Drosophila melanogaster: one gene and its partner. The protein of the gene in region 2 interacts with the protein of the main gene of each other region in a biochemical or structural test. Each region holds a gene or a part of one and is shown on either strand. Other genes may lie near its edges.

Region 1 (16,841 bases), on a different chromosome or scaffold from region 2:
TCATGGATATCTGAAAGATACCGCCTGCAATGAAAACGATAGGCTGCTGCACGTTTTGGAGAAAATACAGTAGTGTTGTTTTGTAGCGACGACTGGCATCCACCCAGTTGGACTGGAAAATAGCATGGGTCAAGGACTCGCAGTCCTCCATGATGAGGTTGCATGTGTAGCAGAAGGGGAAGGTCTGCAGCAAAATGGTTATAACAAACATAAATGATGCGATGCCCGTCCAGATGTCTGAGAAGAAAAACACGTTGATCAGCGTGAAGCCCAGAACCAGGCCGATCAGCAGAAACTGTGTGAAGATGGTCCCCTGGATTACTGGTTTAATAATCGCGCAGTATCTGCGGGAAACATAATGGTAAGTTGCCCCATCTGCAGCTACACGCTCTTCTTACCTTAGAATGAGCTTGTGGTCCATCACACATTTGACCAGCTCTTCATAGCTCTCGGCCTCGCTCAGGTTCTCATCGGAACGGAGGCGTCGGATGCGCTCCCTTAGCATGTCCAAGTGAGCACGAAGGATGAGGGTATAGATCAATGGGTAAGAGTCCGAGAGTTGATCCTGCAGAACGGCGCCTGACATCACCATGTACTCCAACGTGGAGGCCACCCAGAGCTTGAGTGTGCCGTCATGCCAATCAATAAAGGGATTGTACAGCTGCCAGGGCGGACGCCCGCTGAGAACCGAGCTCAGGTAGGTGGAGCCGGCATATCCGCAGTAGACAAAGGTGAAGATGAGAAAGGCATGGTTGCTGCGGGCCACCACTAGGTGGATCTTTTCGCGCTCCTCCATGGCGGTGCAGCGCAGGTCCAGCTGGTCCAAAATGTTCTTGGCCTTGATAAGGCGCCAGAGCATGGAGTATGTGATTGCAACTTTTACCGATGAGCCGTAGGCATTAATGCACACCTGGAGTGAAGTGAGAAACTCTCCAGGGGAGAAGGACTTGATCTGCGTCATGTAGCTACCAAGGAAGCCAAGCGGCAGGTACGTTGTACACCACACGAACGTCATTAGCGTCCAGGTGAGGTACACATACCGGAGCACACCCTGCTTGGGGGGCAGCCATCCAATAAACTTCATGGCGCGGTAAAGGTAGATGCAACCATCTCGGGACCGCTTCTGCTCCGTGAGCGGAGCGGGACGTATTAGCTCGAAGACCATCTCGGCGTTATTGTGCGCACTGCTCTGGTGGACGGCTTATATAGGCCGGTTCCTTTCGAACTTGTGACATTTTTATAGATGAAGTTTTCAATGAGCTCGAAAAGTTTTCATTAAGTTTATGGCCCTTGCTGTTGTTTAATTATTAACTTGAGAATTTCTCTGCTGCGCTATGTTATGTTTAATTAACCAGTGAAAGCACTTGACTAGAACAAACATTTATTCAGTGTTGTTGCCCGACTTCCGATTTGACGAATTTGAATTTGAAACTGCATCGGTCGTGCTGTACTCGTTTTCACATGCTGGATTTCCAGCATGCATAAAATATGGAAAAGTTTGCGAAAATACCAGACGGGTCCTTAATGGCAATTAAGACGTTCCTCATACGTAGCGTTGGCCGCGCCGCCTTAACTTCGCCTGGGGCCACACTGTTTGCTTGTGATTGCAGCGCGGCAGGAGAAAAACATCAGCTCGAGTTTGGCACGAAGGGTTTCTCAGAAACTTTGTTAGGCCGTCCTGCGCGTGGGAGGAGTGCAAAATGGCCGCTAATCGTCCTCCTAACTAAATTTATTAAATTTTCTCTTGCAGGTCTGTGAGCTTGGGGGCGAGTGTGTGTTGAAAGCTTAGCATAATCATCCTTAAAGAGTAAGCTCGCCCAGATGCTCAGATGCTGTGTGACGTCCCATTGCAGCTTTAATGAAAAATATGTTCGCCGAGTGTTATTAATATTGCTCAGGATGTCTGGCAGTTGACACATGTTTTGTTGTCGCTGTCGCTTTTGTTGAATGTACCTTCAGTGTCTGCCTCAACTTCAGTTTCAGCTTCAGCTTTGGCCGTAGCTACAGCTACAGCTACCAACTTCCCTTGTCCTGCCACGTGTAAGCTGACATTTTTTCATTACTACACATTTCAATAGCAGGGACACCCGTAGCCGCATCAGTCGGCTACGAAGAACTCTGCCGAGCAGCTGTTGCTACTTCCCCTATCGTGTATGAGCACTGTGTCCAAGGAGCACCGGCAAGGCCATGGATAACCTTTTGTTTGCTTCTGCCGAGCTTGCACACTTGAATACGTTTGCTCTCCGGGTCCGTCACTGTCATTTGTGCTTTGGCCCGGCTATTTGGCAAGCTTCCATCTCCCCAGTCCTTTCGAGGTGAACCAGCACAGCCCACACCCGGCACCACCGGCTTATGTGCCAACACATCGCAGCATTTGAATAGAACTGGTTTTCAGAACTCGCCAATGGGGTGCGTGGTAGAAATTTATGTTGTCTCTGGCCAAATCATTTATCCCTTTAATTGCAGCGCTTTGCAGAGCTGAGAGTAGACACAGGAGCCAGTACCAGTGATGCAGGTGCTCGGGCTTGAAGTGGTCGACTAATTGAAGGCGGCGTGTGTCTTTTGGATCGTTTTGGAGCATGCTTTACGGGAGCTCGCTTGATATCCACGCCATCATTTATTATCGCTTGACGTATTTATTTTAATTAACGGAAATTAATGCCATGCTGCGCAGCTGTGCGAATATGTTTGCAGTAGCTTACACACATTTTCGGAGCGCGCTATCGAAGTGAGCTACCACGCCCACTTAACCCACACACACGCAGCCACATGAATGCACACGACGCAGCTTTTTGAGAAGGATGTCAGCCTCCCACATGACAAACTCGCAAAACAGGCAGCCTGTTTTATCGCACCGAGTACGATAACTAAGTGTCAATCTGTTTTTGATTTGTTGCAAATTAGTGGAGCCTTTGCTGAGACCTCAAAATTATTAAACATCCCGGAGCGGTCTAGTCAGAAATCTTGACAGCCGAAGTTGCCACGACTCAAGGCGAACAAACAATACTTGATTTACCGATTCTTGAATAATTATTTGTTAAATTATTTATCGTACTGCCGGAGCTTAGCTTATTTCCAAGCAGTTAGTCATATTGCTGATGTAGATGTGGGTTCTATGCACGCAAATGTTAGGAAGCCGTCCATACAAAACTTGAGATGTATTTCCCCAGAATCTCTAACATATATAAATAATCGCATTTTACTCAGCTGCCCCAAGCCATAACTACGCAGTTTGATGAGTTACTTCTTCCGGTGCCGATTCCGTTATGGAAATTAAATTATGGTCAAAAGAACTGCCCCACAGGCAACAAAAGGAGCAGAGGACCCTGCGCACACATAGACAAACTTGTTGAAACACATGACGGTGAGTGTAGACCAGGGTCGTAAATGCCATTACTATTTTGTAAACATTGCGACAGAGTGAGTGGCCAAAATTGTTAACTTACAAGGTCGTGAAAATCCATAAAAAATGGGAAACATTCGCGTACAAAAAACAATGGCTGCGAAACCAACACACAGACAAGCAAGCGTACAGCCGGGCAAATAAACAAGCTAGACATTCTGTTGCAGCAACATACAAACTTTTAATTAATTTCTGTCTGTGTGACCCGTGAGTATACGGCACATACATCTAACTGATTGCTATGATACTGCCATGAGGGGGTGGCAGTGTTTTGTTTACCCATGTGATTGCGATTGTGCGAATGTGCGGTGGGGGTCCTCTTCGGCACACCCGCACACAAATAAGAGCAACAAGAGCATTTAGCGTCACTTTGGTGGCAAAAATGGCTTGACCCAAATGTAATCAGGTAATTTGTTTCATACAGTAAATATTTACCCTCCTGCCACGCATATTTGAACTTAATAATAATTATTCGCGGGGTGATTGCCCCAACACACATACACTGGGCAAACAAGGACGAAACTGAACACAATGCGCTGCAGTGGCAGGCATTGATTTCCCTGGAAAGCCGTCTGGCTACATACTCCTTAAATATTGCATGCTCAGTCAGCCTAGACATTAACTTGGCCCAGACACGAGTCCCACTCGGGCTGCCTGACAGCCAACTTCGACTGCTTGACAGACAGAAAGTGAAAGTAGTGCAAAAGAGCAACAAACGAAATTGATTTAATAGCCCAACATTACGGCGCTAAATGCATACATGCTGTCCCACCTTCCTACATGTACATGCATATGTATGTATGTACATATGTGTATGTGTTTGGGGGTGTAACTCCAACTTCCAAGCGATTTCATTGATCAACGGTTTCCATGGCTCTGCCGGTTGTGTCAATGAGCTGCAGTTGTTCGGCTTGGATAATTGGAAAATCAGGGAATCAAATTCATCAACTCAATGCTTACGCCAATCAACCAATGGGCTTAACGTTCACTTATGAGTCATCTTCATAAAAGTATCGATCAGAGCTAAAGTAAATAATCGTAACATAAGTGGCTAAGGATTTCCCAAGGCATTTGATGCGATTCCTGCCGATCAAACTTCAGTCTTCCTCCTTACTGTACTTCTCCATTGAAATGCGTAGAATGCAAATACGTAGTAGTAAGGGAAATGTTCATAATACAGTATAAAAGCCCAATGTCCTTTTCAATTGCTTCATCCATCCATTGATAGAAGGCCGTCGTCCATTCTGTATAGCAATCAGTTCTTACCCATTACTCGTAGAGGAAAGGGGTATTTAAGTTTCTGGAGTTGTGTGTACCTGATGGAAGACAACTTGATTCTATATACTTCTATTTCATGGCTAAGAAGACAGATCATGGTCAAAGATGTTTCATCAAGGAGCTGTACAATTAGGATGGCAATAAACATCTACTGTAAATAGACCCCCGACTTCGGAGTCTCCAAATTGAGATTAAAGAGTAGAATAGCTTAAATGAACTCGACAAGAAACCATGCCCATAAATACTTCTATTAACTCCGTGGACCTGAGATAAGTAATATTAGTTGCCAAGTTGTCACTGCCAGTGGATAATTACATATATTTAAAGATGTCTGTTAGATGGAGGAAAGCAAGTATCGGTAATTTAATTGATTTATCCTGTGTATTAAATAAAATTTTTAGTAAACATTTATTAAGGAATTTATCCAAGATTCGGTAGAACCCGAGCAATACATTGAGACGGTAATAAATAAAAGAATTATTTATACTTTATACTTTTTATAATTCCGACGACGCAATAAGGAACTTTAAGCCACACAAAAATTTTATTTTGTAGGCGGTCTTAATTCCGTCAGCATTCTCGATTCCGTAAATCTTTTGCAAGTGAGTCTTACCACTGGTGGTGTTGGTTCCAAAAGCTATTTATCCCCTCTACCCCCAACAACCCCCTCAAAAGTTCTCCCTTGACGAGCAAATCTTTATAACAATTAGTTCACACCAACTTTGCAAACGTCCATTATCTAGACCAATCAAAAGGTAACGTGTGTCCATTGTTCAAAACTGCACGCTTAGGTGTCCCACACGTAACTTGCTTCCGACTGTCGCTTACCCAAGCCTTTCAGAACTTATGCCCCATTTTAGCATTTACAATCCCCACCCATGGCAATGCCAAAATTGTATTAAAATTACAAAATCAATCCTTAGCAAACAAAAAAAATATATAAAAAATAAAATTTAATTTATATACGACAATATATAATACAAAATGTTAAACTTCAAATCATACATACACTCAGCTGCTATTGCTCATTCATATTGTTAGCTTTTAATTTGCACTAAGCATTTAGCAATAAATAAGTAAATAAAAAAATATTTATAAGATGTAAATATTTGAATATTTATTATTTATTTATTTATTGGCTGAGTCGCGGCCCTCGACAAAGGCACTTCTTGTTGTCACTTGCTCCTTTGGTCGCCAAAAAGCAGGCTTATATTTCATACGAGCTGAAACTGAAAGGAAAAAGTGCAATCGTTGATAATAAACATTACGTTCCAGGTGTCGACAGAAGCAGCACAGTAGGCTGGCGGGGAAAGGTGCGACCAAAGGTGAGCGGAGTCATACTGAATGAACCAAGCATATTGATCATTGACTGAACGGCCGGCGAACATGCGAATCAACCACAAACCCAGAGCCAGATGTCGGCTGTTGTCGGTTGTGTGAGTGCAGTGCAGTTATTTTAGTGAGTGGTGGCAATAATTCAATTCGGTACATTTTAAGCCCGAAAGGCGTACGGCAGCGCGCAGACACGTGCAGGGCGACTCCGCTGCCTAATTAAGGGTACTAGGACTCGAACGACCGCCAATCGATGCAGCTTATACAATTTGCGATCGCACTCCATTCCCAAAACGTTTTCAATCGCCACAGCTTCCTTTGTGCGTCCAGGACGCGCGTCCGGCCAACCGGCGCTCTTCCGCTCCTCCGCCATTCCGCCCTCAAGTCCGCCGCGCGCCAAGGAGGAGCTCATGCAAAAGCAATTTCCTGAACTTTTACCCGACCGCTGATGCAGGCACACAGACTCACAGACACACACGCATCCTCTGGCAGATTAAGACGGCGACCCAACTCGAAACGCATTGGCCGACTCGTGGATGCCACAGCACTTGAAAACCAATACGAATGCGATTATGCCCCTGCAAGAGTGAGTGTGCGTGAGCTGGCGCTCTCGCCCGCACACAGCCACTCCAGCGTGGAAATGGCGGGCTGTAAGTAAGAAATCATTAAGGTTGGTCGGCACACTAATGGAATACGACAAGCGGCATGTGGGAACACACTCTTGCACTTGTCCTGCATCCTGGTGGCCACCGATAGCTGTCGTTGTAGTTGTCAGTTGGCCGGGGGATTTGCTCCACGTTCGGTTTTGGTCACCGCAAAAGTTTAGTTGCAAGTTGCGGCTCCGCTTGCGGCGGTCATCCGTCCGTCGGGCGTGCGTGCCATCTGACTGCCAGTTGCATTAGGATATCAATTTGCGGGACACTGATTCGCCAGTTTACTTGCGAAGTGTGGGTGCCAAAAGAGGTCCGGCTGTTGGGGTCCTTCAGCAGCCAAACGCTCCGGCACGTGACATTGGCAAAGTGAGTTCCGTTCGCAAATGTGACACAATTTGGTCATCTTGGGACCAAGGAATTCAGAGTCTCCGCGAAGACCCCTAAGAGAGAGCGCGAGAGCGAGCGCGGAAAGGACTCTCTTAGGTTACCAGAGCCCTGGAAGCCATGGAATTCAGGTGTAGCGTATGGACTCATCGGGCCAAGTCGGGGACCGAAGGCCATGCGCTGATTCGTGTCGCTGACCTAAAAGCTTGAAGAAGCTTCCGCTCAGCTTTCGCTCAGCTGAGCCAGGCGCAGGCGCAGACGCTCCCTTCCAGTGGCGAGCGGTTTCCGAATGCGTAGGAGTCCTGGTAGTCCTGTCAGTTCACTTCGTTTGCTCGTCGAAAGCTGTGCATGCTGCGGAAGCGACGGCATCGCTCGTTACCCCATTAGCAACAACAACACATCGAGCATTGACATACCATTCAACACAGCAACAACAAGGCCGTACTGAGTGCCGGACTGAGGCTGAGGTTGGATTTGAAGTTGGGGGCTTCCGGCGGCAAAAGTGCGTTTAAAATTACCAAAGTTGTCCCAATTAAAGGGTGCAGCGCGACTAACAAGTTCAAGTTGGATGTTTCGCCGCGCGAGCGACGTATTATCCCTGCGAACTCCTTTGTGCTCGCGGAAACTGGTGCGTGGCGGGCGTAAAATTCGCCAGTGACTCCGCGTTAAGTCAACTGTTCCTGCGAACTACTGCGAGTGCGAGGGCACGTTGCAGCCAACGGTGGCAAAAAGTAAAAGCGGAAACGTAAACCGAAACCGAAACGCCTGAGCGCCAGAGGTATTGAGAATCCGGGAAATCGAGAACAGGCATCGGTAGTGACAACTGTGAAATGTGCGGCTGCATTGTCGTTTTGCCACCACTTTGACCCAAATCGCATTGAATTCGCGTTGTGCCGGAGTGCGGGCTCTGCGGACGCCTAATGGCTTAGTGCGAGCAGTGCATGATCAATAAGCACCAATCGAAGCTCGCGAGTGCCCCACAGCTAGACATAAGAAAACGAGATCCACCAGCAATTGGAATCCTCTGAAGCATCGGTTCCGGGATCAGCCGTACTTGGTAAGTGATTCACAGCTAGTTGGCCGTTTCTCGCTTGTGAGTATGACATGTGGTTGACGGGAGGCTTGGGACTTGTCATCTTCCGCCGCTTCCTTCTGACTTACTCCAGACACGAGTTAGCTTATTTACGTGGGACTTGTAAGTTTGGGCTTTGGTTTATAGCCTGTGGCAAGAACTAACTTGACTGCTGTCAAACATACGACACGAACGTGTCTTGCAAAACACAACACCTCTAACTCATTAAGGGAGGTAAATGCCTAACTGCGTTGGTTATCAACCAAGAAAAGTTTAAATGAAATTAGGATTCGGCTGCACAAAGTCCGCAAGAGGAGGCTTGCAAAGTGGCCACATCTAGGATTCTGCTTAATTCATAGTAGAGAGTATTTTTCAGTGATTATTTTAGATGACTATATCAATGCGGTTTGCTTTCAGTTTTATAGTCAGAGAGTTCACTTAGAAAGGGATACATAAAGCTTATGTATGGTCCAGAACATAACTAATTTAGTCTTGTTTGGGAACACAGAAAGAAGCTGTCAAAACATCAAAAGCACTTGCAACATCGAAGATAAATTGATAGATAGATTAAAACTACTTAGTTTACTGAACAAAGTCCTTCACAACTATATTATCAACCCCCTAAGGTCGATGGGACTACGATATAGCCGGACTGGAGTTGGAAAAACTGCCGAAGCTTATTCATACACGCAGTGGCTCATGCAAATGGGAGATCGGGAATCCGACGGCTTTCTTGTGAAATAACAAAATGAAAGCGCAAGCTAAATATTTGCTAACAAAGTCCTTGGATACGGGCGCTAATGGCGAAGCTTGTTTTTGTGTATGTGACGGAGCCCCCAGCGATAAGGCACGGGGTCTTGTTTTCGTGGGGTTGGCTGGGCGATTAAGTCTGCGTTAGCCGAGACGTCAGAGGAGCGGCCACGCAGAAAGCAATTAAATGTATTTCCGCTCCAATGTCAAAATTAATGCGCGTTTCATATTTAAAAGCGTGAATGCACGTACACACGAGCATGTAGAGAAAGGTCATCGGGACGACAGGATGTGTGCGCGCGGAAGTCCTATGTCAATGCTGGACTGTCACCGGACAAGTGGGTCGAACGAAGCAGGAGCATTTTATCACCTCGGGGACTCACAGGCATGTCCGTAGCCGGACAGCTGTGGGCAAGTGGGGCACGCCCCGTTGCTATCGCCCTGCCCTGCCGGTGAAGCCGGAACCAATGGGGCGGCCCAGTTTTATGACTTGTAGTTCGACACCTCGTGTGCTGGCTAATGAGCGTGGAAGACTTGCGTAATGTGTGTTTATCATCCGCCCCGAGGCCGGCCGACTTTTTTGGTCATGGAACCGCAAATACTCGAATGTATTTAAATTGCAACTCTACTAAAAGGCGATTTGATTTGATTTGATTTTCTGCTGTGCTGTGTGCACGTGTGTGCCTGTGTGCCTGCCAGTGTGTGTCGTATATATGTAGTTCGGCAAGGTTTTTGCTCAACTCTTCCCATAGCAATCTATGCAAAATATTCACAGCCATAAGAGAAAAGTCAAATAAAAAACAACCAATATTTAAATAACGGATTACAAGCCAGTCGGCCAAAGAAGCCGGAGCTGATGCTGCTGCCACAGCAAAAACATAAATGGGAACAAGCGCCGTTGGAGGGCATGTAAGTTTCCCATTTAGTTATGAGGCCCGCTTTTTGGCCAAATGCCTGAACGAGTCGCTGGATCAGTGCGTAGACTGGCTGGCAGCCTGCTGGTGCCTTCTCAACGTTCCTGCTTCATTTCACTTCATTGTGTCTCCGGCGAGAGTCTTTGTTTTTATTCTGTTTTTTAAATCTTGTCATTCCTAGGAGTCCGTTTATTGCACGATGACATCATCTTAGGACGCGTCCTCCGGGGCATTTCACCCGATATTCAAATGCAAAGCTACCTCCCTACCAGGCATAACTACCAGTATTCAACGTACTTAATTGTATAAATTCTATTCCAAACGAACGGTTAAGTATAATTTAAGACGCCGCTGGCCGTTCGATTGCCATTCTGTCCGGGATGAAGCTGTACAATCCGGGCACTGCCAACTTTTAATTTTAATTTATTTTTGTGACTCTTGGTCCGAGCTGACCGGCTTATCTTTCTGCCATTGTGTTCAACCCGCATTGTGCAACCCTTTGCAGATATATATCGGCTGGCATCTTTTAGTGCTTTCCGTTTGATTGCAACTTGCAATCCGAGATTTTGGCAAAGTCCATCGGGCTCCAAGCGCAAAAGCCTGCCAAAGGAGAGAGAAGTGAGTGGATGCTATTAGGGGATAAAAATGGACCAGGCTTTGGGAAAATAAAGTCAATCAAATAGTGTCTTAATTGTTAAAGGGCCGTGAAGGGTTTTATGCCGGAGAATTGGATTTATTCCCAATGCAAACATAAACAATGGGCTGCAAGATGTCGAGCAGCCAATTCAAATTAGATCCCCTGCCTAAAGCTTCACAAATTAAGCCCTTAATAAGGACTTTGCATAATCAAGCCAAAGACGTTCGTGGGCCGGGCCACGCGAATTGATGACTGGAAAATTACCCGAGCAGTTTGGCTGGCAACCAATCCTGATTGATAGCCGGAGCCCACCCTCTTCACAAGTGCTGTCCAGGTATAAGTCGAGTGTTGCTCAGCTGAGCTCTGAATTATTCAGGAAATTGGCTAATTATCGAAAAAGCTTCGGATTCATGTCCCCTGTCCTGGGATTTGAGCTCCTGTGCCACATGTGCCGTTCAAACTACAAACATTCTATTAGCACTGAATGAATTATTAATAACTGTGTCAGCCGCCTGCTAATGAGATGTTGTGTGCGCTACCGTCTTCAGGGTGTGGTGTAACTTTCCCACCCACATGTAATGGCAAGGACAACTCAACTGGACACTTAAATTTTTGGCAGTGTTTGCTTAGGTCTAAGCAGAAAATCATTAGTTGAAATGCGCAAATATCTCTAAGGTTTTTATTAGCTGAGCGGCAAGTAATTGCCCACAATTAGGCCTTAATAGTACGACCATAGAGAGGCGCTACATACACTGTGCAAAGAGAGCTAATCAGGACCGTGCCAGGATACCGGCCTCGCGTATCCCTGGGGGACGAAGCTGAGCTGAAGCTGAGCGTGAATACGTTTCGGTTGCTCGTTAAGTAAGAATTACTCTGTGTGCTTGGCATGTGGAAAAGAGCTCTTTTGTTTTTTCGGGGAGCACTTCCTGCTGTCTCTTTTCGCATTACTTAGTGTTTTTATTGAAGCAATTCTGTCAGGGCAGAAAACAACAGGCTGACACTGAAAAGTTGTTATTTTCCCCAGTCATTCGGCTTAGGGCTAGCTTCCCATTTGTTCCCACCCCTTCCCCTTCACTTTCTTCTCGACACCACCCACGTCCAGCCAAATATTATTACAATTATACATTGTATTGTTTTTATTTATTCTTCCGTCATCCCCAATTATTTTCTGCGTTGTCTTCTTTCACTTGCTTGAGCTCTTCGGTTTATGGCTGTCCTTCCCCCGACACAAGTATTCCGAGTCAAATAAGCTTAAAGTTGGAAATTCGCTTACGATTCTGGTTTCTAAACAACAAAATCTAGTCATAGCTACTTATATATGTACATACATATAATATTAAAGAGATATTTTAAAATCGCTATTTTACCGTACTAGAATTTGACGCAGACAATATTATGGGATAATAAAGTTATTTAAGGTGTTTTAAAATCCTTTGAATTGCATATCAACCTTGAATCAACAGATTCAAGCCATGAACACAAAAAAAAAAACAAGCAATTTTCGTTGTAAGACTTATTCTTGGATATTTAAAAAACGAGTGGTATGATTTCATTTAAAATTGAAATTTAAAAATTCCATTAAAACTAGGATTTAAAAGTAATTAAGAAATAAGAACAGAAACTTTCCAACTAACAATTTTCATGAATACATTTAGTGTGATCGTCGTATCCACACGCTTTTTATGGCCAATTAAAGGCTTGTGTTGTTTTCTGGCCTAATTTCTTCAAGTGGTAGTATTAGTAATTATCTTAAACAATCAGTGCACAATAAAAATTCTCTTAAAAATTTTTCGATATCAGACAGGAACTCCTCTTGAGGGGGCAAAAAACCAAGTTACCCTTAACATACCAGTGTTTTGCTATTAGCATTCACAAAAAATGATTTTGCACTTGATTTTACTATACTAAAGCTTCAAAAGAAAATAGCCTGGTAACGATTTAATGTGTTAAATGAAACAGTGATAAGCATACGTTATCAATTTAATCCTTAATGATATGTATATATAGATTTATTCTCACATTACTAGTGCGTCTTCAAAAATTTCAGACAACCATTTTGTTCATGAGTAGCTAAAGCGACAGACAATCAAACAAATAACATACGCCGTTATTGTGAAAATACCTTTGAATACCTTTTGAATACCTTTGAATATCTTTTTAGCGGAGCATTGGGTTATAATGGCGGATATATAGAGCTAGAGTGCAATAACAGCAGATCTAGAATTATGCTCCACTGGTCCTGAAATAATCCAATAAGCGAACTAAAAGGAAGGAGTGCGAAATATACATCCCAACGGCTCGAGTTCCGCGACTATCCGATACCCGCTACTCAGCTAGTACAAGTGGGACCGAGAATGTTCAACACTTTTCAGGAATATCGAAAGAAATCGGAAAAAAATGTATTTTAATGTGCAGTTTTGTGCGGTTTCTGGGCGTTAGAGTGGACGTGGCAGCATGGGTCATGCCAAAGACCCTAGAATATTCTAGTGTCTTTGGTCATGCGCTGTGTTTTTGTCTCTAGAATCTGTGTGCTGAATCTCAACCTTCTTGCCTTTAAAGGTTCCTGAGATCTCAACGTTCATACGGCAGACGGACATGGTTAGATCGACTCGGCTATTGATCTTGATCAAGAATATATATACTTTATATATACTTCGTTCTGCCTGTTACATACTTTTCAATGAATCTAGTATACCCTTTTACTTTTTTCCAAAAGAAACGCTTCTCCCTGTTAAATACTTTTCAACGAATCTAGTATATCCTTTTACTCTACGACTAACGGGTATAAAAACCTGTAACAAATATGAAAGTTTTATGATAAAAATCATCGAAGCTATGATTTAATTTAAAATATTTAAAATAATTTTCCGATTGTTCCTAATTAATACCGACATTTTATATTGTCAAAAAATATTGTGTGCTTGAGAAAGTTGTGAAACCAACTTTCACAGCGTTAGCGTCTTTCGAATTTACAAGCTTTATATAAGTATATATCTGATACCGTTTACTAATTAAAATAAATATGCCTTCAGGTGACAGTGTACATTATACACATAGGTAATGTACAATACTATACATGTGCATGTACTGTACATGTACGACACTAAGCTGTTATGGTTTCAAGCCGAACCCTCTAAAATATTAATCAGCTTTTGGGAAAGTAAAATGAATACAACTTTGAAAACGACAAAATGAAAATTTGGGCGTGCCATTCATTTTCTGTTTGTTGGCGTTCGAGTGGGCGTGCCCGCCCAAGTATTGACAGAGGAACAAGCTGTAACGAGTATATAAATGTAAAACACAATCCAAATGCGCGCACTATAAGGACCACCGTTCCTTTGTCATGTCCTTTGTCATGTGCCTCGCGCTGTAACTCGTTAGAGGGTTCAAGGTCCTTGTGCCGTGCTAAGATCAAGTTGTGTCTTCTCGGCACACAAATGCATGCAAATGCCAGCCATAATAAAAACAATGCCCGGGCGAAGTGAGCACACGACATCAAGATTTAAAAATGTGTCCCAGCCTCTAAGCAAAAGGGTCTTGGAAGATGCGCAAATGAAATGTGTCCCTGGCTGTGAGTCTGTAACTAGGAGAAGGACGAGGCACTTGTGTTGGCTCTGCGCACTTGGCCCATAGTGAGGGGCGGTAGCCGAAACGGCAGTTGCCTCCAAGTCGCGTTCATTCAACAATTTAGCAGCGAAAGTATTCTCAAGTGAAGTTACGGAAATAAACAGTCTGGGTCGCACTGACTGCAGAACGTCCTGCGCCGAGAAAATGACATCAGAGGGGCAAAGGAACACTAAAAGCGAGCGGAGTCATTCGGTGTTATGTGATAAGCCTCCGATGCTCCGATATGGGTGCGTTCGAAACTTCCGCTGCGCCCCATCAAATGTGGCCGTCATGTCGTTTTCCATGCTGCAGGATGTAATGCGAGCTTATTACCATAAAAGCATTGCCTTCCGCGCTCATACATTCCTCCGCCTGTGTTTTTGGCCGAGAGGATGTGGGCCCTTTGCCAGTGGAAAAGACAACTTATAGATGTGTTCAATTTTAGTAATAGCTCTTTTGGGCCTTCGGGCGGGTCTGAAAGACACTGCTCTGCCCAAAAGTTTTTAACTGCTTCCCGTTAGATCTTAGGAAGTAGTGTGATGGCCAGCCTGTCTACCGATTATATCGCCAGGATCCGACGCAGAGCTGCCTTGGCACTCTGTCACTCCACGGACTTGAGAAATATGGCATCTGGCTGGCCGCAGGGGAGTGTGCCTTTAAGCCAGCGTCGCAAAAAGAAATTCTGAGTCAATACATGTTGAGTACCCTGAGGAGCTGGCAGAATGAACGAAACACTGGCATACTGGCAAGCTGAACGTACTGGTGTGGATGTCTCTGTGGCTGCGTGGATCCATCAGTATCAGTATATCCACGCATGCAAGCTCCGTTTGCAGCTCCGTTTGCAGCTCCGTTTGCAGCTCCCGGCTCACGAGAAATTTCTCATGCAACATCGAGCAACTTTTCAGCCGCAGAAGTTGGCAAGTACGGCAAGAGCCGGCAGAAAGATGTTATGGGGCGAATGCGAGGCATGCCGTGGCTTTCGGCGTGAATATGCTGCCACATAATACTCGGGTGGATACACAACAACTGCGTTGCCGGCTGCTCAAACAAAGGCCTTCCGCCCAGACCGCAATATTCAATTTGTGTGCGACGCAATCTTAAGTTTGTGCGTTTGCTGTGTGTCCCCGATTCGGATCCCAGGGTCCTCTTTATTTACAGCTTGTATCGCTGCAATCGTTTTTTATCTGCCTCGTTTGTCCGGGCAGTCGGCCAATAATATGGGCTGACTGCGGACATTTGCTTGCGGCCTGCTCATGCCGTTATCCTTTTATGCTCCGCTTTATCAAAACGTGCGATTGGTCATTCAGTGCCTGGCTTTATGAACTGGAACAGAGCTTGGATTTGGGTCCGAAAAGAATACCGCCCTACAATCCACCTCCAGCCAGGCACTCCCACCACAATTCTCTAGTCCCCCCTTTCCACGCCTGCACCGCAATTATGTTTTGTGGCTTGCGGCGTGCGGACCGGAAATTAATTTCGTGCTTTATTGCAACTAATTCGATTATGAGTCCGCTCGGCGTTCAAACCCAATCCAACCATCGCCCTGCACTATACACCCAACACCCAAATACTAGACCCCCCGAAAGCGGCAACCTCCCGCTGCGCTTAACATCTACACAAACAAGGCCCGCGTGCTGGCAGTGTTGATTTGCATGGATGTTTATGCATAATTTATGGCGCTGCAATTGCTGGTTGTGTTCGCAAACATGCGTCGAGCCACCAGAGATTATTTGTTTTTAAATATTGCGCACTAATTTAATTTATCGCTTTATTATTCTTTGCGTTTCGAAAGCCTGGTGGAGCGCCTGAGCGGGCTCACTTGTGCGATGCGGCATACGAAAAGCCGATTGAAATTGAAATCAATTAGAGCCAAAATGACGTCACGCGCTCCTAACTTGTTTAATTGGTGGTCTTTGAGAGGATATGCATAAAGTTGGCAGTCGGAACCTCCGATTCAAGTGAAGCGTCACCATCGCATCATGCCTCAGCAACATCCACATCAGCACACATACCGTATAGCCGAGAATACACACTCTGGGAATTTTCCTGCGTCCTTTATTATTTTTATCGATTTTCAGCTGATGGCTTTATCAACAAGCGGCGCTTGTCTTTTCAGTCCGTCTTTGGTCACTTGTTGGGCAAACACACAAAAGAACGCTCGCCCCCCTCCCTACCCCTTGACGAGGCGCCCCTGTTGAGTGATGTGAAGTGCCTGCAGGCCGCGTTCTCAGGGCCGCCTGCGCATATACATAATAGCCAGGCTTTGGGGGCGTTATGGCATTCTCACGCTTCATTTGGCATAAAGACCAAAAATAACCGCTGCCATCCCCTGGTCCTGGTTCTGCTGGGTCGTCCAGGCTTGGACGTAAATTGAGTAAACGCCCCTTATTTGCTTTGTATATTTTAAGCCCGGAATCAGCAGCAGCACATAATTAAAGAAAATGAGGAAATGGTGGGATTTAAAACATAATTTAGCTTACACAAAGCTGGATTTCCGTTGCCAAAAGCACTGTTGGCTCGCTCTCTATTTGGCCACGCCCCTATTTGCTCTTTTCACACCGAATACACTGCACACTCTGCTCTGAGACGCTATCCATCGCGATGGCCAAAACGCTAGCCCATCCCCAGGAGCGGATCGCAAGAAGCGATGGAGATTGATAGGTAAACAGGACGGCCAGCGCAATTAACATGAGTGGGGAAAATGACATCGCGATGGCACTTCCCATTGATTTTTAATTAGCATAAACAGGCAATAATTGCGCCAATGTGCAGAAATCATCGCCAATATGCAACGACATAACTATGTTGGGCT
Region 2 (16,725 bases):
AATTAATTAAATATATAAATTTACTTAATGACTTGATATACCTTGTACAATATCCTTGCAAAGTACCACTTGCTGTAAAGGAAAATGAAAGGAAAATGACAGTACTATATTGCTCATTCGCAGCGTATGACCGTCGGATATTGCATTTCACACACGCACACCCCCAACTTAAGCCGCATTTTTTGTTGCTTGTAGTGGACATCTGGATATTTCCCTGGACACGCGATAAATCTTCTTTGCGCTGATTTCACATGTGCGCGAACCTTTGGGCAAATTTAGATTTATTTCAATGCGTATGCAAATACATTTTGGACCGCCACTGCCGCAAAACTTTTGACATATTTCACTTGGCCGCAAGACAAATGCCTTTTTAATGTCCATAAATTATGCTTTCCCCGTTATCGATGACCACATCCTATTTGAGCAAACAGAGCAGTCCGAAACTTTACCCCAATCTAAGCATAAACATGAAGTTTGAATGGTCCTTCTTTTGTGGTATGAAAACATCTTCATGCATTTTATTTCGGCGAATAGAAGCAGCCTGCACTTTTCCCCATTTGCGGACAGTTTTTATGAGGCTGATCCTTAGACTATGCGAAAGTTTAGTTTACGTTCATAAATCTCCTTGTTTAGCTCCTGTGGAGCAGAGTAAACAATGAAATTAAAAACGTATTTTCTGGTCGGGCACAGTCGGGATTTAGATTCAATTAAACTGTCAACGGGACAGGGTCTTCCATTCACGGCAAACAAGCCGCCCTCCTCCGCTTCCTGCTCACCTGTCGCCATTCACCTGGCAGACAGGACACTTGCCATGTTTGTCATGTTGAGCAGCAGGCATTAAATTCGAATTAGCAGGTGGAACGAGAAACGACTCCCCCATTTTCACTAAGAACTTGGTGAAGAATTGAATTCTAACACCCCACAAGATTTATAGGTATCGATAAATGAGCAAAGGAGAACCTCTCGGCAGATCCAAAAACCACAAAGGTCAACGACTTCGTAGGAGGCCATTGAAGGACAACAAAGTGAAAATTAGGCCGCGAGAATTCTGCAGATGGCGACCGCAATGTCTGTCAAGGGGAAGGACAACCGAGGACAGCGATTTTCAAAGGATCCCAAGTACGAGGGAAGCAGAACTTGAAACATGGACACCTGTGGCTTTCGGTGGGGCAATAAATCAATTTGCTTTGACGTCTTGACATCGTGTCCAATGAAAGGAGGGGGATTGGTAGCAGAGGGTCATATTTGTCCAACCTGACTTTGCCTAGTTCGTGATGTTTGTCCTGGGCTTCTGGGTTTGACTCTCCTCTGTTTGCACAACATTTGCATTGTGACTTGCCATTAACCCCTAAATATTGGGATAGGTTTTCATCTCACTTCCACGCAGTACTATTTTAGAAAGTTCCATCATAAGATGAAAAAGCTATCCCCTTTCAAATCCATAAATAGAACCACTGATATGGAGGCATCGCTTCGGTCAGAAGCTGTCAATTTCAATGAACTTTCTTCTCTTTTTCTTTTCTGTCTGAAAATGTCAGTATCGCCTTTCGGTTTCGGGAAAACCAGAATCAAGGAGACCAAGCCGTTTATCCTGGCCAAAGTCAGACAAAGTTCAGCTGGGAAACTTGGCCCCTGTCTGACCCCTCCTACATTAATAAGGCGCTTTAAAGTCATCCCACTTACTGCGAATTGCGATTTGAATTTGAATTTGAGTCTCCCAGTGGAGAAATCCAATGCCAATGAATGCCAACAGCAGTCAGAATGAAGTACACACCCCGGCATTAGCCGCTCTCGATTTATGACCCCCACTTGACCATCCTGACCAGTCACTCTCCATGTCCACCATGTCCTCCATGTGCTCCTCTGTTCTACATTTCCCCGATTTCCACCGATTTCCCCTTGAAATGTTTGCATTGGCGAGTCCTTCGTCCGCAGCTCGCCAGCTGAATCATCCTCAATCGTCCTCCTCCTGTGCGGCAGTGCATTTTGGACATGTAATGAGCCGCAGCGGGTCTTGAACTTTGAATAGGCCCGCTACATCATCTCTTCCAGTCAATGCAGATTCAGAATTTCTGAACGAGGTCCTGCAATTGACATTTATCGCTGCTGGCTGAGCACCAGACAATGTTGAGGGTTAAGGTAGTCGAAAGGGGTTAAATGGGTGGGCGGACTCTTTCGGGGAACTTAACAACTCATTAACACGCGCAGGACAACAATTGCTGTCACTGCCATTGGCAATTGAAGCGCTTAAACGTTGTAATTCACTTGTATCGCACAATTATTCGCTCATTTGTTGGATAACGAAAACCGGATAAAGGTAAAGGTACGACCCATGTCAGGAAAATGTAATCGGAAAGGGGGGATTGTACTCCATACAATGAGCGAGGCGGTCATAATCCTCCAGGAAAGCCAGATGGATGCTCTATTGTCTTGGCCATCAAAAGAATTCAGATAGGAATATACCAGATTTTTAAAGTCATTAGAAACTGTTTGACCTCTTCTTTAAATAAATTACGCAAATTGGACGTGACACAGATTAAAGCATTGGAAAGATTTAGAAACAATGGGTATCTTAAAGATTTCCCATAAAGTTCTCTTAGACCCTGAAGTCCAAAAATTTCCTGTAAGGTCAGGTCACAATTTCTGTCCCTTGTCATTCTTCTGCCTCCAAAGATCCACATGTGCACTTTGCGTTTGCTCCAGGACAACCCAATCCATCCTGACACGCCTCCAGTTGGGTTCCATCTCAGCATCTCACTCCAACTGGCCATCTCTCATCCGACCTCGACAATTTTTGAATAACTAATGAAGGTGCCAGTTAAACGAGGAACGAGGAGCACCAGCAGGATGGCCACAATAAAACAATAACAGGCAAAACACGAGGAATGCGTCGTCGTTGAGGGTCGAGTGCCTAGAAGTCCTGGCCTGAATATGAAATTCGGATTCCGATTTCATCCGACTGTCGACATTCATCTTGCCAACTGTCTGTCTGGCATTAGGAGTCGAGCGTCCTGTGTCCGCCGTCCAGGACTTATGCATCATTGTCAAAATATTAACAGCTGGCACATTCCCCTTCCCGCCCCTCGTGTGAGCACTTGAGCTCAGATGATGATGAAATATATAAATGGAATTTAAGTTTTTGGGATACATTTTCCCGGCAAACAGACGAATGGGTCAAATCCTTTCTAAATCGGACTCGCTTTCGCCTGAAAAGCATCAAGAAGTTTGCCTTCCTTTAACCTCTGACTCAGTCCAGCATCTGGAGTGCATAAATCTAGTGCCTGAAAAGGATATTTACGCATTTGCATGGGCATGTGTAAAGATGCTTAGCTGAGGGCATAAATAATAAGAGATATTTATAAATCAACACTGGGAGGATTTGTACATAAGAACTCTCTCATATCCAAGGAAACTCATTAGAACAGGAAAAGGGATGGAGGGAAATTGGCACTTCCTACGAAATAGAAACCAAGGATATATACTCTTCTTCTGATTTCTGAAATGATTCGAGTGCAGTGCAGTGGCAAGACTCCATCCGAATATCGATTTCCATCAATGGAGTGCATCAGACAGGAGTTGAGGGGATTTAATGGGTGCCATCGAAAAGGGCACCGAATGACTTTCGTCTGGCTGCTCATGTGGGATGGGGAGTGAGATGGGCATTGCTAAACAAATTTGCACTCGAGTAAATTAAAAACAAACAACAAAATCAAATATTAATGTTCTGTAACGCGTTTCAACGATATTCAATCGGATCAGTAGCAGTATAGAGAGTTGCAAACAGGAAAAAGTGCAGAGCAAACACACCAATTTAGAAAAATTCAGAACTTTGGTTCAGTTTGTTTGTATTTTGTCTGCGCTTGGAAACAACGGCGAAAAAAGTGTCACTTATTCACTCAGTCGCAAATGAAGAAACATTCCCCTCCGAAAAACACCTCCAAATAGAGTTGTCTGCATTTCCATTTCACTGCCATTTCCCCCACAACCTTTTTCATTTCTTTTCATTCTCTTTGCCTCCGACGAGGCTGAAAATAAAACCTTTCTGGCATTCAAATGTTATTTTTAAAATTCTACCCACTTTTCCCTCGGAAAGTTCAAGTCGTGGAAAAGCGTGTGAAATGCGGAAGTATTTGCTGTTTGTTGTCGCAAAATTGTGGGAAGGGAAAACCGCAGCCAGAAAAAACGCCTTCAGACTTTTTTTTCTTTTTTGTTCGAGATTATTTGAGTGCGGATTGAATTGACCCTCGGTTAGGGGTCACATCAGTGTGCTCTTGGTTGACGGAAATCCCTGGAACGTGGGTAAATACCAGTTTCCAGGTTGCAGCTCCTAATTTCATTGTTCATTGATGGGCAGCCTGCACCTGATGAGCTTTGCATTTTCCCCGCAACTCGCATCAAATATATACACTCAGGGATCTGACATAATGCGACGATTTCTGGCGCAGAGGCCTGAATAATAATTTCGATTACGGAATTTGTGGCCGAAATTCGGGCAGCCGCAGATGCAATTAAATGTTAATCGATTGAGTTTGTGTATTGTGGATGGAAGTTCAACAAATGCCACGCCCCCACAACTGCATACTTGAGTGAGATAATCAAAAAGGAACCAGGACATTGACCCTTTGCATGTCCAAAGGGACAAAAGGGTGTTACTGTGTCACAGACGTAATTAATTGTAAATAATTGTGCATGTGTCACTTGCAATTTATTTATTTGCCAAAGACATCCGCAGGCAACAAAAGGATAATGGGAAATAGAGTATAGATTGATCTCTACCGGGGTCAACTTAAAGTTACCCACCTCATTGGCATTCCGAGCACTTACGGAAAAAGGTCAGCATTAGGGTCGTCTTACAGTGACCCTCATCTAGGGTTCCGTTTTGTAATAAAGAACTTATGGATGTCATATTGCGCATACGCCGCGTGTTCCCTGCAATTGTAAATGCCAGATGGGAGATGCGGTCTCAACTTGTTTCCCGATATTTGCATGTCAAACGCGTGCTAATTTCAAATTACTGCGGCACTTCAACTTCTCCCCCTTTTTCGCATCTTACCTTTTTATGCCCCGTCTCCACCAGCTGAAACGCATTATTTATGACTTGTACGCTTTCTGTGTCATTTTATAAACATTTTCCAAACATGTTCGGCGACCTCGGAAAAGTTCTCCTCCACTTCGGAGGCTGCAGCAGCATATAAAATGTATAAAAATAAAAAGCAGGCGACTTTATGTTTTATTTATGAGATACGCACACACAAAAGTTTGCACGGGACTTCACAATGCGTGGCGCCTTTTAATGTGACCAGATCGGGGGAAGTGGAAGTAGGGCGGTCGCAAAATAATGGTACTACAAAATGGTAAGATTAGTTTTATCGATTCTCTGATATGCTGATGCCTCATTATGCCTAAAGTGCCTGCCATATGTTCGTAAAAGGGTCAAAGGTTAAGCACTTGCTCGAGTTTGGACCCCCAAGCAACTTTAGCTTACCGCAAACCACAAATCGCCGTTTAAATATTAATACATCAATCCACTTAATATGCGAGTTTATGCCATCGAATGATGTAATAAATATAAAAGAAGGAGCCGCAGACACTCGGATAAAGATGATGCCCATATGCGGATGCCGTAAATCCTTCCTCGGCTCCATCTGCAATGTCTGTGGGAATGGAAGTCTCTCATCCACTACACTTTATGATGAGTTTTCCCCGGTTGGCTGATGGATTCACAAGTACACACATACTGTAAAGGGACCACAAAGAGCATCTCCATTAAAGTTACAGTCAGACTTCAATGGATTTCATATTTTTTGGGCTTTCCATTCTGGTTCTTTGACTTTTTCATTTATTGCAGCTGGCAAAAGTCAACCGCAATATGCCAGTAAAGCAAACAAGATTGTAATATGCCGAAAACAAAACAAATTCCTGGTATAAGAGCGCACTTCCTGAAATCCAACTTAGCCTTAGCAAGGCTGGCCTTCACTGCGGTGGTCCTGGCATAAAGGAAGTGGGCTCCTTGTTTACTTGAGAACTTATAAAGAAAACATCAACTTGGATTTCCGACACAACTGTGGAGAAGGGAATGGGTACAACAATACCGGGAAAGCAACTACTTCAACAGCATTCTAACCGTCGGAACCAGCGGATATGAAAGCAAAATTTTGCATTAAAACTTAAGAAATCATTGGGCCTTCCTCGTAAGAGGTCCCGAGATAAGAAGGCAAAATAGAATATTTCCCTTGGCTAAAGATTGCGTAAGGTTCTGCCACCATGGTCATTGCGTATTTGTGGGTTCGCTTGTGCGTTATGATTGCACGAGCAAAACCAAATGCAAATTCAGATTCTGTTGTGATGGGCAAAAGGGCGTCCACGAGTTTAGTAACAGTCTTTATCATTATTTGGTAACATAATGTACTAGTCTCTTTAAGTTTCACAGCATAACACAAGTGGTTTGCAGTCCACTGAAAAGAATGTTTCTTTACATACACTTTCATATTTGCTGTTATAAGGAAAGAGTAATTAAATATTTGCAATATGTGTAATACTTTATATAAATTCCCACAACCAAGTGTTATACCCGTATTTTTATGGGTAACAACTTTGCTACCACTTTAAATTTCTTACTTATATTTTATTCCTTTTCTAATCACCTGCTTTACCCATGTTTACCTTTGCCCGGCTAAAAGCGAACCCAATCCCCACATAAATACCCATTCAAGTTCAAGTCAACCCTTAAGGAGGCCTAAAACCGCAGCGTAAACCAAACGAGGGAACAGCATTTGCCGGTTCGCTCGTTGGATTTAATTTTGGCTTACACATTCTTGGCCAATGAGATTTATGCGTTGCTTGCGAGTTGTTGTAACTGCTGTTGTACTTCTTCCGCTCTTTTCACCCACATTTTTGTCCCACAACAGCCCAAGTTGGGGGATATACTGATATAAAAAAAAGGGCGCAAAATGTTGTTTTGATTTGGCTTCCGTTTTCTCCTTGAATTTCTTTCTCAGCAAAAGCCGAGCACGTGTTTCGTTCGAAAAACAACGACGCTTGCGCTGAAAACGTTTTCGAAACTGAACGAAACTTTGGCCGTACTCATACACGAAGTCCAAAGCGAGTGAATACGAATGGAAAACTTCGGTTTTCGGATACCCGAAGCCTTTTTTCCTGCTTTTGCCAATGAAGCGAACCATTGAGCGGCACGATTTGAATTCAGTTTGACTCGAACCTGCTCCGGAAGTAGAAGTCAGCCCGCGAGTTTCCATCGCAAGGGAAAATTCTCAATAAAACACAACAAATTAATCATCTTTTAATCACAGTTAAAAACGAGTTAATTGCAAATTACTCGCTCGTAAAAAGTGCTCATACCTAAACATACAAAGTAAACCACCAAGTGTGTAACAATTAAAATAAATCTTGTGTTAGTGCGGTTGGCCATAAAAATAATTCGTGTCGCAACAGCAGGCGACAATAAATTTTGCGGTTGGATCGTTAAAATTTCGCTTTACCTGAATGCAACTGAAGCCGGAAAATAGCAAATGAGAACGCGGAGTTTTCCCTACCATTAACTTTTTTTTGCAGCAATTTGAATTCGGGGGAAAATTCATTAAAAATACAGCTGAAGCTCAAGACGAGAGACGCTTGCTCACTCAGCCCTGTGCCACATAAATTTCACGGCAATCAGCCGGCGCTGCAAGTCATCCAAACTTCATTTGTTGCTACTTGGGCTCAGGGCTCTCGGTTCTGCTTGGTTCTGTTTTTCCGTTTTTGCTCCTGCAGGATCTGGATCCTGCCCCATGGCTCCTGCAGCTGAAATATTGCTTCCATTATTTATGTTAAGTTTATGCAACATTCTCCCTGCTGCTGCTCCCACCAGCACAAGTCCTGCTGCAGCACAAGTCCTTCCTCTCTTGTTTTTAATATCCTTCAGCTTGTAAAGGAATTACTCCTCAAGCCGGCAACTAAGAGCAAACTCAAGTCTCACGGCATTCGGCTCCTGGTTATCCACCATTTTTATAGTCTGCCTTTATTTTTGGTTCGTCTATTTCCATCATTTGCCTCGTTATTCAAACATCATCATCTTTCTGGTTCAGTGCACTGGGCTCGGGAAAAGTGCGGATAACAAGGAGCGCCATGTTATTGCCATCGAGTGCATTAATAAATCAATTGTTTTTTGCATCTCAAAGAGCTCGCTTTGCTCCAGAGATTGACAGGTCGGAAATCTGAAATGTAATCGCTGCCAGACGAAGCAATTTGCCAAGAAATGAACTCTAATTGGGTTCACTTGGAAAGTTATAAAGGAAAACGGATAAAGGCGGTGAAGAGCTCATAAATTTGCTTGTTAAACACTTGAATACATTAAAGCCCTTGAATCAGACGATCGCAAAAGGTGCGTGGAACAGAACTGTCAGTTGAAGTTGACTTTGAACTTTTAAAACTTTTGAAGAATTCAGTAAAAATCAGCAATATCCGAATATTAATTTAAATGTACAATATAATGCCTCAAGCTAATTTAAAAGTTGGAAAAATTTTAAATGAGCCAAATGCTTTCAACTCAAAAGGCAATCTTAAAATTCGCGGAAACTAACCATAAGCTATTTAGTTACCCAAATGGACCACAGGAAAATGTGTGCTTCTATGTTTTCGCCTCAAGCTCATTAACTGCTCGGAGCTCTCCCTACTAGATTGTTATTTTTCCCTCAGCTCACACAGAAAGGATAATAGGGGGAAAACAGGAACATTTACTAATTAGCACTCCCAGGCTGCACACAATGAATGTAAAATTATCAAATCGTTTTCTGCGCATTTTTTTTTTATTTTTGTTTAGTTTGTTTGTGGTATTAAAAAGGAAATAAAGGAAAAGATTCCTTGGTAGCAAATGTTGTGGGTGGACGAAGTGAAGTATTCATGGCAGCGAAACGAAAACGAATTTCAATGCATTTTTCAGCTGCACTCTATGACATTTTTAAGCGTGCACTTACAAAAATTATTAAAAATATGTTTTTGATAAGAACTTGCCAGAAGATTTTTGCAATTGAAAGCGAAAATATAGTTAAAACCCAAATTAAAGAACTTCAAATTGTTAAATTTAAGAGACATACTTTTTGAAAATTATTTTAAAATATAAATTAATTTTTATTTTATTTTAAATATTTTTTGAATGCCAATTTGGCGGTGTAGTGTATCCACATTCAGGCATCTGCAAACAATTCCATGTGCGCTGGCTGTCAGATCTGCAGGAATTGCTCAGCTGCCTGGCCGACGATTCTCCTGTCGCGGAAAGAGACAGCCTGAATGGGCAGAAAGAGACGGACTAAAGGAGATGACAGCCATGAATGGCATTTCTTCTGCTACCTCCGAGCATAATTTACATTGTATTTCAACTTGAGTGTGCAGTTGAGGCTGTCTTTTATGGTTTGTCTTGGCTCGCTTCGGGCTTTTCGTTTGGATTTTTCCCGCTTTCAGCTTTTATACAGTTCTCTTTGGCGAACGAAAAGTTTCACTTGTCACAGGCTATGGAATTTGCCGAGTAAAAGGCTTTCTTCGCGTTACGCGAGCGGAAACCTTGGTTAGCTACAATTTATACATGTCGAGCTTGTTAAGTTGTGATTGCGCTCTGGCCTAAAAGTGGACTTCTGGCTACGTACTGATTGCATCATAATTACCCAACTGCCTCCGTCCCTGATTTTTGCCCCTAAGTGCTTTTTAACGAGCTCTCTTCGGTTTTGGCTGCTGCTGCTGCTGCTGCTTTTGCTGTTTGTTGTCCGTTTGAAAAAGGTCCGGAAATAGGAGGGCAAAAAATTTCAAACATTTGTTTTACCCCCCGACACAAATGATTTTCTGTCGTAATTTTCCACCAGTGAAACCAGTCATGGTCATTTCCCTTTCAGCCGCTTTTCGAACTCTGTCGTTATAATCTGCTACATGGACCCCATAATTTGTAATTTCAACCTAATTACTTCAAGCCCAGCCGAACGGGGATCGGACCAGCTAAACAATGTTGTCCGTAATAAAATGTCAAAAACCAAAGCAAAACGCCCATTTCGTCTGATTTACACACACACATGAAGACCAGAAGGACACGCCCCCTCACACGCACAGTGCGTATGATTTCGGTTTTTGTGTCCTTTGCTGGTGACATATGTTAATGATCTGGCAGCGATTTCTGGGTCATTTAAATTGATTTTTACGCTTGTCTGTTTATTTTTGTTATTTAATTAAAATGGAAGTGGAAGCAAGTGTGTAATTATTATAATAATAATTGAAATGAATTCTCTAATTATTTGTTGCACTTGTAGTCATTATGTGCCTCCTAAAAATATTAATTATATATTATATTTTACCTTCTAACCTCCAACTAAATGTATTAAATCAATTACAACGAAATATTCGTAAGCATGGCAAAATTAATTTGATTAAAATTCTATAATTCCATTTCAATAGTTTCATAAAAACTTTCAATTTGATTATCAATCATTTAAATGCACAAAAACTCGCACAGTTGTAACTATTTCCGAATAGTTTCACAACATACATATGTACATATGTGTAGCAAAAAATCGAAATTAATAAATGCATGTATATTAATATTTAAATCGTTTGTCAGACAACGAATGAAAAACTACCAAATATCGTAGCAGAAACAGATTTTTATTTTTGGCAGTATCAAATATTTATATATTGAAGCGCCAACTCAGTTGAGTTGAGTAAGTGGATCAACTGAATCTCAGTCGCTGGTGAGAGGGGTGGCCAGAATGGGCAGGAAGTCAGGATGAGTCTGGCAATGCAGTAAGCTGATATGGAATGTTCATTCATATTTCATTTCGCGAAATTGTTCGGGACCAAGTCAGAGGAGTGCAGCTGAATTTTCAGCCTAACCAGTCGGTTGTAACGCATTTCGATGGAAAAGCGAGACACAAACTCTGATGTGTTCATGGGAAACTTTGGCATATCCTGTAAAACTTTAAGCAGAAAATGTGTCAATTTAAATTAAAACTTCTAAAATAACTTATATAAAGTAAATCACATTTATCTCAGTATAACTGAAAACATGTATTGTAAATTTGAGAATTTTTCAAAAATATTTTATATAATTAACATAAGTAACAAGTAATAGTTAACACAACCTTTCCAAGGGAATTTTTCTCCTATGAAAAATGTGTAAAAACGCAACAAAGGCAATTGATGTGCAATGGATATGTCGTCATATAGCCCTGGTAACACCAGTTACACCAGAAATCAGCGGTCACCATGACGTCGACCGTAAAAGTAACTGTTGCAATGACACAGCCGTTACTACCGGCCATCCATCGCCGTAGAACGCATTTCTGGGGCCATAAAATAGTAACATCAATGGAACGCATTCAAACGTGGCACATTCGCGCATGAACCTCGGACTGACCGGAATAAAGTGCTATTAATAATAAATGTTGCATTGGCAGAGGGCGAGAGGTGGCCAAATGAACTTGGCAAACCGAAAGCCGAGAGCCGAAAACAACCAACGGCCAAACAAGCAACCAGTCATAACCCCCTTCATTGCTGGGGGATTTCCCATTTCCCGGTAATGAAATGAAGCAACCTGCATTGCGTACGCCCATTGTTCCCCGACCACTAAAATGGGTATCATGATTGCTATTTGAAATATGCTAAAGTTCCTGGGAATCGCTCGAAAGAATTCCCAGGCTCAGATCTTTTTAATTCTTCGATAAAAAATTAATTACACAGGTCGTGAATTTTCACTTCAATATTTCATATTTAATTTAAGATATAAGCAGTAAGCGTAGAAATGGTATTACAAGCTTTACTAACAATGCATATAAGGGGTTTAAAATGCTTGGTTACTGTTTACAAATTGAATTGATATAATGGTTACAACGAAAGTAATTCCTTTAAAATTCATAATTATTTTTTAAGAAAATATTTTAAATGTAGAAAAAAGAAATTATAGTTCACAAACACAAGTTCCTACTTTAGTTTCCCTGCTTTAGGTAGCAGCAGGGTATTTCTGACGTCGATCATTTCGATCATTTAATTTTGGCTGCGAAAACTTGTTGTCCACATACAACATTGAAAAGCCTGGGCAACAACAGCGAAACGGGGAGAGTGGATTGCCGAATAGCAGGACGACTGGCATAATAATAATAAATGCCATAATCCCCTGGAATCGGCGCTCCTCTGTGGCCATTTTTACCGCCCCCCTTTTTCCGCCTTTCTCCATGTGTGTGTGGGCTGCATTTTTATTATTTCATTTTCATTGTTTCATTTACAGGAAAAACAACAGCCGCGGAAACACAACAATAACAACAGAAACCATGGGCAAATGCCATTCGGCGCGTCAAGTGAATTAAGCGATTTTTAAAGCTTTACGCTAAATGAAATTTGAATTGCCAAAGTGTGCACTTGTGTGTGCAAATTAAATTACGCAAATCAAATAAATGTTTTAACGAAATAAAAATAGGAATCGAAAAAGAATACGGAGTGCAAATAAAAATGCTGTGCAAAAATTAACAACTATAGTGTAAATAATTCAACACATATTTTATAGCACCAGACATAGATAAAATTAAACGCAGAAAAGCAAAAAAAAAAAAAATAATAACGCAACAACGAATACAACAAAATGTTTATTCTAACGGTAGTTAAATTGCTGCTGATAGCATTAAATATATTTCCCAGTCGCTTCACAAATCGACGGATTATGTTCCTCATCTATATGACAAATCTGGTGACGCACGGTAAGCACACCCATAAATTTCATAATTTATTGATTTAGAGTTTAATCAAATGGTTGAGCCAGATGAATAACGCTGAACTTATTCAACACAGGCTTTAAATAAATAACAAAATTTAAGCTTGTTAATGCTGGGATTAGTTTGTTTTCAAACGTTTCACACATTTCACTTTCATTTTATTCAACAGGGATTTAAAGTGATTAATTTCATATTGCCTTTTTAATGCGTATGCACTTTAGCACTTTACGATTTTTCATATATTTTATTTATTTAGTTCCTTTTGGAATACAAAAAAAATCATTTAAAACATTGTGGTTCTTCAAGCCAAATGGGAATATCAAAATCTTGATTTTTCCATACGAAAGCATTTCCTTGGCCATTTTTTCTCTCTCGTTTAATACTCCTTAATAAGCATTTCCATATGCTCGCATTTCCGCCACCGAATACGTGTTGTTCACCGTGTTGAAACTGTCAGATCTGGCCATAATTTAATTAAGAAAATGAGACCTCAAAACGTTGGCAACGCGCTGGTCCTCGCAGAGAGCCCAAAACTCCGGACCGAACGCAGGTGAAAGCCGTGAACCGTGATACAGTTGCAATGCTCCTGCCTACTGGCCCAAAAGGGGCGTGGCAGGAAGTTTGGGGCGCAGGGGGCCGTGCCTCGACTGCATGACGCAGATAACACGGCAACACGGCCCCATCAACTTGGCCAGGAGGTAGACCATGTTTTTATATCCGACACTGGTAGTGTACATGGGCATATTGCAATTCGACAGGGTATTGTATTTTGTAGATACATTCGGGAGATTCTATTCCTTTAAAGATATATTTTGGGCTTACAATACCTCAAGAAATAGCTCATGAATTTTAATATCATAAATTTGTGTGGAATGTGTGTAAATATTATTATTGTTTACCACATTTTCAATGATAGGATGCAAGTCTCTAAGAGTAAACTATTTACAGTTTTCATTTAAAAAACTTTAATTTTTAAAAAGTGCAGGAGTTGCCTAATTTAATCCATTAGTCAGGTATTGCATAGTCGTTGTTCGGAATGCGCTAGTATTTATATTATTTTCACTTTTTGTGCAGCACTTCCGCGGCAAAGACAGCGGCACGAACACGAGCTGAATGCATAGAAAAGGAAAACGGAGACAAAAGTGGCATCAGGCAGCCTCAACAGGCAGCAGCTACGTGCTGCCACTTTGCCCCACCCACCATGCCACTTCCACATTGCACTCCCCGCTCTCCCCCCCCCCCCGGCAGATAAAAAATTGCTTTGTTTAATTATTTCATAATGACGCTGCGGTTGCCGTTGCCACTGTAGCTGCTGTTGATTATATTTGGCCTGTGGGTCAGGGATTTCCGGCAACAGCTGCTATTGCTCCTCCATCAACATTTGCACTTCTTTATTTTTATTACCCGGCGTACTCTGCTGGGCTTTAATGACTTCGTTATGGTTGCCATGGCGAGAAGTGGGGCTTCGAGTTGGTCCTCCCCACAAATTATTCATACGTACTTAAGAATTTTTCGCAAACTATTTTTGGCAAAAAATGTTCTTCTGGAGACTTAAGTAAAAACTTAAAACGAGCTCCGTGCTGAAATATACTAAAGAATAATTTCATATTTAAGGTGTTTATTTTGTTCATCAAACTTTGGCTGTACTTTAAAATATTATAGTTTGAGATAGTATTAATGGAAAATATGATTTCTTAATTGAGACTTATTTTTTTCCATGCTCTTATGTGTAAAGGGATTACTTTTTATATTGATGACGAGCAAATGCTTTATAATTTAATCCAATCAAGCTTGAGTAATTTTACGCGATAAGAATTTTCCAAAGCCTTCAATTACCTCACAGAAATTTCCAGCAATTGTAATTCGAGCATTATTAAAGCCATTACTCAGCTGAGTGAAATTTCCTTGGCCAGGCGCAGAATTAGGTTTCCCAGTTGACTCTTTCTCTCATTAACTAACCCACTTTCGCCGCCACTTTTCACTTGCAGTCATGATGGATGAGCCACGTTTTGCGCAGCCAATACCAAACGTCACCGTTGCTGTGGGTCGAGATGCCAATCTGCCCTGCGTTGTGGAGCATTTGGGTGGCTATAAGGTGAGTAACGTGTAGAAAGTGGCAGAAATTCCGGGAAGGGGAAAGCCCCGGGGAAACTGTCATAAATCGTGCGTAAACTGAGCTCCATGGTCGAGCCTCGGCTCGTTGATGAAGAGGTTTGCCAGCGAGACGGACAGTGTCAAAAATCAATTTCACAAATTGCACAACGACCCAGGCGATTGACTGACCGAATAACTGACTAACAGGCAGGCAGAATGACAGACTTCTCTGGCACTCAATTGGCAGCTAAAGATAAAAACAGACCTATCAAAATATTACCCGAAAATACAATGGACATTCTGTGCTTGCTATCGATGACTTTCTGCTGTCATTAGCAAGTCGAAGTTTTGTTTGCCCGGAGACACAATTTATGAGCTCTGGTCGGCGCTGGATGCATATATGCATCTAATCCACATTAAGCTATGGATACGCTTTGGCCAGGACGAAAGACCTCTGATGCTCTCTCGGACCAAACAAAATGACTAGAAAATCACTTATCATTTATCTCCCTCAGCTGCTGGCACACAGCGAGCTCATAACAAATCACAAATATTTACTCGCCATATCAACTTCATATAAAACACTGTCGCCAGGACCACCGGGGCCTAGCTAGGACACGAGTCCTTGCTCCTTGCCCCTTATTGGACTTTTGTCAACATTGGCCTGGACATGAGGAAAATGGCCGAGGACAGTAAAGCGGGAAACTCATTGCTGTCAGTGTTGGTGCTGGGGGCAAATTTGAAAAGTTTCCTGCTAACTCAAGGCTGGGAAAGTCCTTCCACCAGAAAGAGTTCGTCTCCATCACAGAGTAAGAAAAGATGTTAGAGAGTAAATACTAGCAAAATCTTCAAAAATTAATCGTTTTAAGGGGCAAAATATAAAATTAGAAAATCCAGGGGAATTTAGATTTAAGTTAATCACAAAACAGGCACTTATCTCGGATTACATTTCCACGATTTCATTGCCTTGGAAAATGTATATTTCTCAGTGTAACATGTCTTCTGCTGCAAGGCAGAGCAAAGTCCAAAAGAAAGTGCGAACAGAAGGAGCAAAAAGTGTATTAAAAATGCGGAAACAGCTGTCAGGCTGGCTTTATCCTGGGGTCCTGCGTCACAACATGACGTTCATTTATAATGGCAGGGTCTCCACATGTGTTTAGCCGGCAATCCCATTTGGAGTATGGATGGCTGGCTCTTTAAAGAACACCCTGAGGTCTCACGACATTAGTTGAAAAATTGATCGAATAATGCGAGTTAAGCTTGAAAACTATGCACACTTTGCAGGTTGCCTGGATTCACATAGACAGGCAAATGATACTGACCATCCACCGGCATGTGATATCAAGGATACCGAGATATAGCATCACATACACGGACAACACGTGGCTGCTGCACGTGAATCAGGCTCATCAGGACGATCGCGGCTACTATATGTGCCAGGTCAACACCAACCCGATGATTAGCCAAGTGGGCTACCTACAGGTGGTCGGTGAGTATCCCCACACCCGCTGTTTAATCAACCTGAGCTGATTCGGATTGCACCCGTCCCGCAGTGCCACCAAATATTTTGGACATTGAGAGTACGCCGTCGTCGGTGGCGGTGCGTGAAAATCAAAATATCAACATGACGTGCCGGGCCGATGGCTTCCCGGCCCCAAAAATCATTTGGCGGCGCGAGGATGGAGAGGAAATTGCCGTCGAAAAGAAGAAGAAAGGTATGTTTGATACGTAGATAATAAAAAGGTAAAAAAAAAATGACTTGTGTCTGCAAGCTTTTAAAAGGAGCATCATTTTTGGCATGACTTAAAAGCAAAGCAGTTGATTTTGTAGCATAATTTTAAGTATAGCATATACTTCAACCAGATGTTTAAGTCGGCTCCTGAATAACCCTAAC

What was found.
Region 1: the proteins of DIP-delta (region 2) and dpr12 form a complex in vitro, tested with the Drosophila melanogaster proteins (one study listed by BioGRID).

What each region holds. Positions count from the first base shown.
Region 1 is NT_033778.4:5,797,348-5,814,188, forward strand, and holds the start of dpr12 (defective proboscis extension response 12), read left to right. Parts: upstream 1-7,364; 5' UTR 7,365-8,107; intron 8,108-16,841. Other genes in the region: Or42b (odorant receptor 42b), read right to left, coding at 1-344, 399-1,165.
Region 2 is NT_037436.4:5,416,907-5,433,631, forward strand, and holds the start of DIP-delta (Dpr-interacting protein delta), read left to right. Parts: upstream 1-7,202; 5' UTR 7,203-7,369; intron 7,370-12,256; 5' UTR 12,257-12,607; coding exon 12,608-12,722; intron 12,723-14,725; coding exon 14,726-14,832; intron 14,833-16,115; coding exon 16,116-16,320; intron 16,321-16,384; coding exon 16,385-16,546; intron 16,547-16,725.